3 linked regions of the Rattus norvegicus genome follow. The protein of the gene in region 1 interacts with the protein of each later gene in a biochemical or structural test. Links are inferred from orthologs where the notes say so. Each region holds a gene or a part of one and is shown on either strand. Other genes may lie near its edges.

Region 1 (4,129 bases):
TTTTATGAGTGTTTCTGTCCGAATGTGTGTCTATGAACCACATTTAGGCCTGGTGCAGTGCTGAAAAACATATCAGATTCTCTGGGACTAGAGTTATAGGCATTTTTGAATGCATATACGGGTGCTGGGAATCAAACCTGAGTCCTCTGGAAGAGTAGCCAATGCTCTTTGATTGCTGGGCCACTTATAATCGGCTCATTACTAATTACAGAAAAGATTATTTTATTAATGTCTTGTACTGTGAAGGTTTTTGACTTACTTTAGTTTTCATTTTTCCCCCCTTTACTTAGTATAACCTTAATCTTCCCTGAATGTTTGTGCAAGAGGGTCACTGTATTCAAAGGAAGATGTTTAGGTCTATGATGTAAGGCAACTAGTTTATGAGCTGGAGGGAGCTCTTGCAACTTCAACTTTCAATAGCATTTTGGTCATCTATAGCCACCAAGACTTTGTTCTAGAGCTGGAGATGTGGTGGCCCAGGTCTTTAATCTCAGCACTGGGGAGGCAGAGGCAAGAGGAGGCCAGTCTGGTTGACTTAGCAATGTTCTATAATAGCCAGAGCTACTTAGTGAGACCCTGCCTCAAAACACAAAACAAAACCAAAGATGTGACCGGAAGGGTTGTTTCTTCATGCCCCACCCCTAGACTCCCACAGGGTTCTTCCATGTAGCCTTGGCTGTCCCGGAACTCACTTTGTAGACCAAGATGGCCTCAAACTCACAGAGATCTGCTTGCCTCTATCACTCGGAGTACGCCACCATAACTCAGCTCGTTGTGGTTAACTTCATTCACTCTGACATGCTAGTGGCTTCCAAATCGCTTTCACTTTCTCTCTTGTAGAAAATGAAAACTTGTTACTATTGTATTTCTAGTAATCAAAGTCATGAATGTGGCAGCAGCAAGCAAGAGGGGGCCATAAAGATATTATACAGGGAATTCACTATATTCAGGAAGAGTTGGTTCCGGCCTCAGAAGCGTACAAGATGTCCAACAGGGAGGAGCCTAAGCGGTCAGTTTGACCCCAAACACACACAGCCTGCAGGCAAAGCGCTGGTCTCCCTAAGGCCTGAGGCAGCGGGCCGGTTTTCCCGGCCCCGCTGAAGACCTAGCGGTTCTCTTGCTCCAGGAAAGTAGCTTAACCTTGACGATTTCATCTCCCGCATTCCCTAAGGCGTTTTCCCGCTTCCCTTTCCCGTCTTCCCAAACTCTCCTCTGCGCGCTGCGGAAGTGACGCAAGACGTAGCGGAAGTCCCTGCAGCCGCGGTGTTGTGCTGTGGAGAAGAGACGGATTTGTAAACCTCAGAGTGCGGTTCTGCCTGCCGGAGGCCGCTGTGGTGCGGAGACCCCCGGGTGAATCCACCGACACCATGTCTGACCAGGTACCGGGCCACGGCCTTGGGGCTCAGGGCCGTCGGCTGCTGGCTGAGCCCCTGGAATGGGGCGCGGGGGGAGGGGGTGATGTTGGGGGAGGGGGCTGCCGGTGGGGAGGGGGCCGCGAGGGACGCCGAGCGCCTGGCAGAGTCGGGCCGAGCCGCCTGGGATCGAGGGTCTCCGGGTTTTACGCACCCTCCGCGGCCCTTTCGGAGGCCTCTACCCCCACGCCATCCAGCGCCGGGTCTCTTTCGACTGCTCCCAGGTTTCTCTCGGGCTCGCTGGGGGCCCAGGCCCGCTCCCTTGTCCGTGAGAGCAACCTGGGGGAAAACGACCGTTTCCCTTTCAGAGGACCGATGGCAGAAACAAGGCCCTAGGCCCAGTTATGTAACGGGAGAGAATCCCTGCCTGGGAGGCTAGGTGGCCCTGAAAAGCAGCTCGATTCTACTTTGGGTTCTTGGTCCCGGAGAGTGGGGGGCGGGCAGGGATCCTTGTTTGGGGTGACTGGGAACCCAGGAGACGCTGCTTTTCAGTTGTGTTTGCCTGGAGGGTCAGTCCGTCTTTGCCCACTTCAGAGTCATTTTTCCATCCGGGGGTGCGGAGCGGTCGACTCTTTCTCTGTACTTTCCATTTCTTACTCGGGATTGGTCCATCAACTCTCCAGTTGTAGGAGCGCTCAGAATAACCGAGAAACAACAAACTGCGTAGAGTGCCACCACCAACATGCCATCCATACGGTTTTTGTCTGGCTTTCCTTTTGTTTGGTCAGATGACTTAATTTTCAGAGTATTTTTTTTTTTTTTAATTTTTACTTCTTTAGTTACAATTCAGCAAACTTTTTTCATTCTACTTTACATTGTAGTTGAGCTTTTTTAAAATTTTTTTTGTTGGTTTTTTTTTTTTTTTTTTTTTTGAGACGTTGGTTTTCTGTGTAGCCTGGTTGTCCTGGAACTCCCTCTGTAGACGAGGCTGGCCTCCAGTTTATAGAGATCCGCCTGTCTGTTTCCTGAGGATGAAAGGCTTGCAACCACCCCAGACTGGCCATAGTGGTTCTATTTTTATAGCCTATCTACACTGTAAATTAGTTGTGGGATGGATTTACTTATTAATAATCTGGATTATTAATCTTTTGGGCTAGAAATGACTTTATGAAGCCCATAATTTGTTTATGACAGTTGTTTACTTAGTTACCAGAGAGGAGAGATCAGCTGTGTAAACGCTTATGCTTCATCAGACTTCTATTTTTAAAGCATGTTAGCCAGATGAGAGGGCAACATACAGAAAGAGTTTTAAGTTTTAGGATTAGTTTTGCTCTAGTTTGAACTTACATTATGTGAGGATATGAAGAAAGAAAAGAGGACCCTAGGACACAAGGTTTCAGGGAGTCTGCAAAGTCACTCTATGCTTGCTTAGGACTCTCTCACCTCACTTGGGGTCTTTGGGTGCTGGACCTAGGGCCTCCCACATGTGCTTGCCAGGCAGGCACTAAACCCTCATTTCTCCTTTTACTTCATTTCATTAAGTTGTCTAGGTTGGACTGTAACACACTTGTCTTTGAACTTGGACTCCCTCAGCCTTGCAGAGTAGCTGGGATTACAGAGTTATGCTGCCACACTTGGTGTGTGTGTGTGTGTGTGTGTGTGTGTGTGTGTTTCTCATTCTATCATGGATGTTCAATGAAAATTTTAGAAACATGACAAAAAAGTAGAACAAATCTTTTTTTTTGAGGCAGGGTCTTAACTATGTAGCTTTTCCTGGCCTGGAACTCAGTTTCTCCTGTGTCTGTTTCCTGAGTGCTGGGATTAAAGATGTCTACCACCACAGTTGGCAAAACAAGTCTTTTTTTTTAAATTGAGCTACACATTAAAGCAATTTGCATAGGAAATAGTGCTGCTACTCTTAAAATTTTTGTCTTTAAAAAAAGTAATAAAAATGTATCTAACATTTTAGGGGTTTATTTAGTTCAAGTCAAGGGTTTCTCTGTGTAGCCTTAGTTGTCCTGGAACTTGCTATGTAGATCAGATTGGCCTCAGATTTTCCTTGCCTTGCCTCTGCCTCCCAGAGTGTATACCACCACGACAGCTGGGTTGATAGGTTTTTAAATCATTGAGAGTGTGATAATGGATTTGGGAGCTGTTGCTTTAGGCTGATGGATAACATTAATCTTAGTTCCCAGAACAAGTTCAGTATTGAGTGTTAAAGATTTGGAGAAAACGGTTAAGTGAATCCTTGCCTGTAAGAGGTTTATAAGTGAGAGTAGGAATCCCCAAGTACTGTGTGTAATAGCAACAGCCTGAGACTGAGCTGTCTTCAGAAGGTGGCCTTAGAGGGTACTTTTTCAAGTTGGGGGGTTCGATAATGTGCTTGACTTGAATACAAGATGCCCTCCAGTACCCATGCACATTTTATTTTCTGAGGCAACTCTTAGAAGCTTGTATCTTGTGCTTAAAATAGTCACATTGAGTAATAGTTTCAGCTTTTCTCTTTGTTTTGAGATGCTCTCACTGTGTATCTAGGCTGGCAGTGATCCTTCTGTTTTTACTTTCCTGAGTCCTGGGATTACAGGTGTATGTGTATGCCACTGTGTCTTGCCATAATTTCAGTTTAAAATGAGTGGATCTTTATATCTAAAATAGATCACAATCTAATGCCTAAACCTTGAGAATTCACTGAATTATGCAGTTTTTTTAAAAAGAAGGTACTATAGGTCCCATCATTGGTACATGATTTCCCAAAGAATGAGGATCATTCTATAACC
Region 2 (3,650 bases), on another chromosome or scaffold:
CAAGGATCTCATCAGTAGAATGCTGGAATCCGCTAGGAGGTGATGATTTCTAAAAGCCATTTGTGGTTAATGTTATCCTTAGTTGTATTTATTTTGCAGTAGTTTTAACAAATGAAGAGTTTTAAGGACATTGCAGATTAAAATATATCTCATTTCAACATCTCAGAAATATTTACATGATTTGTTTTCCTGTGTGTTGTCAAGACTTCTGCATCGTGAATTAATTCTCTGCAGCCTTTCATTTGAGTGATGCCTCAGATGGCTGGCTAGACCTTTTCTGACCCCTTCTTCAGTTCTTTGAAATACTGAGCTTATTACTGTCTCCTAAGAGTGTGCAAAAGCTGTTCCAGTAATAGCAAGAAACACCACCTCTCCTTTCACTGTGTAAGGTTATCAGGTGCAATTAATGGTAAATTGAGCCCACATAGCCATAACTTTTCTTTTTTTAAGTTCAAATGGTGAAGCTTGAAATGGAAATTGAAGTAAACTTGGTTCAATTTTTTAATTGATTCCCACCCCCAATTTAAAGGCATGTGGTTTGTTCCCCCTCCATATATTTTTACTATGATAGTAAGTCCTCTTCATTTTAAAGATCCAAACTAGGAGCCTTAACTTGATAGCTGCTGTCTTTTGAGTGCATATTTGTCAGTTACTGCTTTAATGGTTGCTATTGTTTGCTTTGCCTTTTTTGAGACAGACAGGTTTATGTTGTCATTTAACTTTTTCTTTGCTCCTTCAAGCAAGAGATTTTACTTTATGTAAATTGTGAGTGACAATACATAGAAATACAATAATACGTCTGTGCTACACTCATACTCACATTAAGGACAAAAGTTACCATCTTTGAAATTTGTGGTAATTATTGAATTGTTTTTGTTTGTGGCTTAGAGAATGGAAGTGAATTAAAAGGGAAGTTATTACTCTTTAAAATTTCATGTTGTTCTCTCCTCCCTACCCGTTTTATAACAAAAACATTTGCCTATGTGATGACCACTAGCTCTTGTTAATTGACAGAATCCAAAATCACCTGGGAATGGGCCTCTAGACATGCCTGTGGGGAGTATCTTGATTTTGTTAATCAATGTGGGACGACCTGCCCACTGTGGGCAATACCATTCCCTGGCTGTTAATAGTAACTGTGAGTTCTGGGATTTATAAATGGAGAAAAAGGGTTGAATAGCATGAATGCATTCCTTGCTCTGTTTTCAGTTTTGAATGAGATGTGGTCAGCTGCTTTAAGCTCCTCTCTATGTTACTTCCCCACCATAATGAATTTTACCCTTGAATTTTGAGCCAATACAGTCCCCTTCCCCTTATGTTCCACTATGCCTGGAAGTTCTTTTTTTCTAGTTATTTTATACTTTTCCTGGATGTTTTAGTGAGTAGGGAGAAGATGCCATTGTTGTCCTATTTACAGACTTTGTTAATATCCAAAAAGAAAACAGCTATATCAAACTAGCTTCAAACTTAGATCCTCCTGTCTCAGCCTCCCAATTGCTGCTGTTTCAGTTGCTGGCCATTATGCTCAGCAATTTGTTCCCAAACTCTGGGTTACATCTCTGTATACCTCTGCAGAGTGCAAGAATTTGGACATTGATTTGAATGATTTACCACAGCACATGCCACCTCCATTCCTTCTGCCTGCTTTTCTTGTTCATTCCTTCACTGTCCAAATAGTTAATAACAAACGGTACTAGATACAGAAGATAAAATGGTCATAGACTGTCCTAGTTCTAGAACAGTCATCAGCCCTAGTTCTAGAATAGTCATCAGCCCTGGAGACCCTCTGTCCAGGCAAGGAGTCGCCATATGGATAGAAATGACAGTGCAGCAGGATAATTGTGGAGATAAATACCCAAGAAATGGCTAGAAGAGATAGACAGTAAAACAGTTCCACTCGGCTAGGACAGGCTGGTGAAGCTGGTCCTGAAGGTGGGAACAGTGGAAGGACTTTATCTTTGACTGATCATCTATATTGCACTAGAGAACGTCATTCATTGCTCACTTTTGGGGGCTATTCTGCTACCTTAGTGCAGTGGTTCTCAATCTGTGGGTTGTGACCCTTTTGGGAGGGAAGGTGGAGTCAAAGGAATCTTGAAATGAATCTTGCATAAGGGTTACTTAAGACCATTGGAAAATACAAGATATTTACATTACAGTTCATAACATTAGCAAAAGTATAGTTATGAAGTAGCAATGAAAGTGATTTTATGGTGGGGAAGGCTCACTACAACATGAGGAGCTCTGTTAAAGGGTCACAACTAGTGAGAACCATTGGTCTAATGTGTTGGCCAAGAAAGAGGGTATTGGGGCTGGGGATTTAGCTCAGTGGTTAGAGCGCTTACCTAGGAAGCGCAAGGCCCTGGGTTCGGTCCCCAGCTCCGAAAAAAAGAACCAAAAAAAAAAAAAAAAAAAAGAAAAGAAAGAGGGTATTTATAATGAGCGGTACAGGAAGGTAGGGAGGCAACACAGCCACTGTGTATGCTGGTGTTTGATATGGGGCCAGAGAATCCAACAGTTAAGGAATAGAGGATTTAATGAATATAAGCTTGCAGGTGTGTGTCTTTCCTGGCATTTCCTGTCAGAGACAGGGCTTCCATAAGTAGCAGTGTGGTCTTTGGTTCCCCTTTCTGTTGCTTTAAATGGCGAGATTGTGATCAGATCTCCATGTTCTTAGAAGGTGGGGGGAAGTAGCGAACAGTGATAAGTAAATTGAGACCACAGATTAATGAAGGTAAGAAGATTTCTGTTGTGTGGCTTCACTTAGTATGGTTGTACAGATGGAATTCCTGATGGCTTAAATGAGAAGTGCAAGCTTTAGCATCTGATGAGACTGCCAGCTAGCTGTATAGAAGCAAAGACTAAGAGGTAAGCAAGCACAGGAAGATAGCGACTGTTCCTTGAATTCTAGAGTTAGTATAGAGCAGTATTGATAATGTGAATACCTAGTTTTGAAGTGGAGATCTGGCTTTAATATACTTAACAGGTTTTTCCCCAAGAAAGTGGGAAGACTCCTGAGGGCACGTTACTACTTATTGCAGTCCGCAGTCTGTGCTTCTGGAGAATTATGAAGTGCTTGTTGATACTGCTAAACAGTAGGATAAAGCGCGATGTGGTCCTGCATAGTATAAACTGGATCCTGGCTCTCATAATCAATCTCACATGGAAATCCCTAAACTTATATCTAGTACTTTTAAAGTTTCTTTGCTATTAATTAGTTAAACTTTGTTTAAATAGAATGGTAAAATGGATGGCATTTAAGCAAACCATATGAAGAGGCTAAATACAAACTTTAAAATTGTAAATTATGGTTTCAGATACTAATATTTTACATTTTACTTTTTTCCCTAAGCAAATGGTTATGAGCCTTAGAGTTTCTGAACTCCAAGTACTGTTGGGCTACGCTGGGAGAAACAAGCACGGACGCAAACACGAACTTCTTACAAAAGCCCTGCATTTGTTAAAGGCTGGCTGTAGTCCTGCTGTACAAATGAAAATTAAAGAACTCTACAGGCGGCGGTTCCCTCAGAAAATTATGACACCTGCGGACTTGTCTATCCCCAACGTACATTCAAGTCCTATGCCAGCGACTCTTTCTCCATCCACCATTCCACAGCTCACTTACGATGGTCACCCTGCATCGTCCCCAT
Region 3 (2,983 bases), on another chromosome or scaffold:
AAGGGATTAACACTCACTTGGCCTTCTGCAATAGTTGGGAGGATTAAATGTCTCAATGTACTAAAGTTCATTGTAAGCTACAAGGCACAACCTAGGCACTGTCATAATCCAGCACAACTGAACTGAAGGACGATGGAGGAACCCAGCCTCTGGTCCTGCCCGTGTCCACGCTCATGCGAGTAACCCCAGCCACAGCAGAAGAGGACAAAGAAAGGGTCAGCACTGGAACCAAGTTTGCCCTCAAGCTCTGGCTGCAACATCTGGGCAGATGAAGGTAAGGAACAACTTGTGGGTAGCACAGCCTCGGTGCGGGATGGCCTGGTGTTCTTAGGGACGTCAAAGAGACAAAGGGAGAGCAACTGCTCTTGGCTATGCTTGTGTAAATGCCTCCACTCCCTCCCAGGTAAAAATGAAGCTCACATGGACCCCAGACCAGCAAATGAAGGCAGGCAGCCGGTGAGGTGGTCTGGCAACCTGAGACCTGAGTCCAGTAGCTGGGATCGATCTCTTTCAAGATGGAAGGAAAGGTCCTACTCCATAAAGTTGTCCTCTGACTTTCACATGCACCCATGGCGCGCATGCCCGCATGCACAGTAATAAACATTTTAAGTGTTCTTTTTTTTTTTTAAGTGAAAGGATAGAACATGGACCCTCTGCCCCACAAACCATGGGTCTGGAAAACAAGGTACAACATCTCTCCCCTCCATGACGCTCACAGAACATTCACAACCTTTATTGTAGGCGAGAACTCTGCTACAGCTCTGGGGATAAAAAGTGAAATCACATCACAGGGCTTTGGCCCTGAAGGGGCCTGAGTATTGGGAAGGAGAACAGAGCCCCCATGTCCCATAAAAGGTGCAAGAACAATCTAGGCCTGAGCACAGGTCACTAGAAGCTTAGGCCCTTGACTGTTTAGCATAAAAACATTGTGAACTTAAATATATAAATAGAGAGACCCAGGCAGTAGGCAGGCCACGCCCTGTTCCCGAGCCCCTGGGGATCACAACTAAGGCCTTGTTTCCTCCTCGAGTCACACTGGGAAGTAAAAGGCAAGGGAAGTCATCTTTGGATAATTTGGAGTTTTCTTATTTATGTACAAAAAAGAAATCTGCAACCCAAAATAGAGTTGTCTGTCCATCTCTGACCTGCCACCTGACAGTATGGCCAAAGAGAAGGGAATGGACGAAAAAGAACAGATGTTTGGGTTTGGGTACGGAAAGGAGTCCTGGGGGAGGGGGCAGGAAACTGCCCTTTCCCCAAGAGGCTGAAGATCTGGTGAAGGGTGAGGAACCCCTACCCTTCCATCTGCCTCCCACTGCCTAGGTTACCCTACCCAAAGGAATGTGCTACATCAAAGAACACTTCCAAAAACAGACCCCAATGTCCTTTTTCAAAAGGTTAAATGTTAACCCTTTGAGTACTGGCCTTGTTAGGCAGTGATAAGGCCAAAAGCAGGTGTCCATGAAGATCTGGCCTGGCCTTTGACCAATGACCCCTGAGGGATCAGAGCAGCCAGGGGTTGGGAACCCACAATGTATCTGCTCAGTGCTAGGGCCAGTAGAAATTGATTTTGCAATCCAAATAACTCAGTCCAAGGAAATGACGTCTGACCGACAGCCAGTCAAAGAGGGACCGGAAGGCAGGGGTCCTCCATGCCCTTCCCTCAAGGAACTCCCAGGAGCCACAATGCTGCTGACACGGCCAGGAGCGGGTGCTGGAGTGGCGCTGCGGTGAGAGCTCCCCAATGTGGGGGCCAGTGGGCCCAGGAAGTGGGGAGGGGTTCCCCGGAATTGGAAGAAGTGGCCAAGGGTGTCCTGCTCATCTAGTGAAGTGATAACTGAAGGGCTGTAGTGCTGGAGGGACAAAGGAGACAGCTTGACGTGTCATCTTGACTCAGCACCTCACCCACCTCAAAACCACTTCACGGGGTTCCAACCCTCACGGATCTCATGACCATGATGTTCTTGAGAAGAGAAGCTGAGGACCTGACTCTTCCTTACTCCCCCAAGACCCTTCTCCTGTGCCTTGCCTTGGGACAGCCCCTTTGACATCCAGGGCCTTGTGGGTGTCTGAAATGTGTGGAACATCCACTGGGGAAGGTTCTAGTGCATGCGGGGGTGAGTGAGCAGGAAGAGAGGTGCTAGGAAGGCACAGGTGTGAATATGAAGTGATGGGGGCGAGGGGTAAGGAAGACAGGTGCCATGTTCTCCCCTCGCAGAAAGACACTGTGAAATCCCTAAGGAAACCGGGCAGGGGAAGAACATATCATCAGTGTCTACAAAAAGGACTCTCCTGAGATCTTGCATCTTCCTAGACATGACCACTTACCTGACTCTCAGTCTGAAGGAAAGAAAATAAATCTAAACCTGGTAGGAAAAGAAAAATCAAAATCAACCCCCTTCTGACTCCTTCACCACAAGAAAAAAAAAAAAAAAATTCCCCCTGTCCCTAGGGCTCTGCAAAGAAACAGGTCTGGACAGGGTACGAGGGCAGGACCCTCCCCTCCACCTTAGGGTCAGCGTTCTACCTTGGATGTCAGCCCCCAGCGGGAAGGCAGGTGGGTACTCATGTAGTGGGAGACTAGACAGGAAATCACTGCCCAGTGTACCCATTGCAGGGCTCCGCAGCACCGAAGACGGCTGGTGACCAGAGGTCAGGGCTCTGTAGTGGGGAGAAAGAGCTGGAGAAACCAGCCAAACACGGCTGCCCAAGGTCCCATCGTCCCTGCCCTTCCCCATCCCATAGCTTGCCCGGTGGCCAAAAGGCAGTTCTGACATCTGCCCCCTCCGATACAGAAGCAGCCTTTTCTCATACCCTTTGCTTCCAGGAAGGGCTGGAATGGCAGCCGAGGTAACAGGGCAGTGCTTCTTGGTGGGGGGCAGATCTTCCTCATCTGATGAGCTTTCGATTGTCAAGTCAATGACTTCAACCCTCTTCTTATTCTCTGACTGATTTCCCTCCTGGACTGGGCTATACTGGAGAC

Evidence for each region.
Region 2: the proteins of Sumo1 (region 1) and Pias1 form a complex in vitro, tested with the Homo sapiens proteins (6 studies listed by BioGRID and IntAct, with this or other methods). The link is inferred for Rattus norvegicus from reciprocal best matches to the Homo sapiens genes SUMO1 and PIAS1.
Region 3: the proteins of Sumo1 (region 1) and Pias3 form a complex in vitro, tested with the Homo sapiens proteins (2 studies listed by BioGRID and IntAct, with this or other methods). The link is inferred for Rattus norvegicus from reciprocal best matches to the Homo sapiens genes SUMO1 and PIAS3.

The regions. Positions count from the first base shown.
Region 1 is NC_086027.1:68,600,001-68,604,129, reverse strand, and holds the start of Sumo1 (small ubiquitin-related modifier 1), read left to right. Parts: upstream 1-1,326; 5' UTR 1,327-1,367; coding exon 1,368-1,379; intron 1,380-4,129. UniProt on the Homo sapiens protein: Ubiquitin-like protein that can be covalently attached to proteins as a monomer or a lysine-linked polymer.
Region 2 is NC_086026.1:72,306,686-72,310,335, reverse strand, and holds part of Pias1 (E3 SUMO-protein ligase PIAS1), read left to right. Parts: intron 1-698; exon of another isoform or gene 699-1,932; intron 1,933-3,352; coding exon 3,353-3,650. UniProt on the Homo sapiens protein: Functions as an E3-type small ubiquitin-like modifier (SUMO) ligase, stabilizing the interaction between UBE2I and the substrate, and as a SUMO-tethering factor. Catalyzes sumoylation of various proteins, such as CEBPB, MRE11, MTA1, PTK2 and PML.
Region 3 is NC_086020.1:186,927,936-186,930,918, reverse strand, and holds the end of Pias3 (E3 SUMO-protein ligase PIAS3), read right to left. Parts: coding exon 2,815-2,983; intron 2,662-2,814; coding exon 2,528-2,661; intron 2,367-2,527; coding exon 2,329-2,366; intron 1,854-2,328; coding exon 1,587-1,853; 3' UTR 627-1,586; downstream 1-626. Other genes in the region: Nudt17 (nucleoside diphosphate-linked moiety X motif 17), read left to right, coding at 113-272. UniProt on the Homo sapiens protein: Functions as an E3-type small ubiquitin-like modifier (SUMO) ligase, stabilizing the interaction between UBE2I and the substrate, and as a SUMO-tethering factor.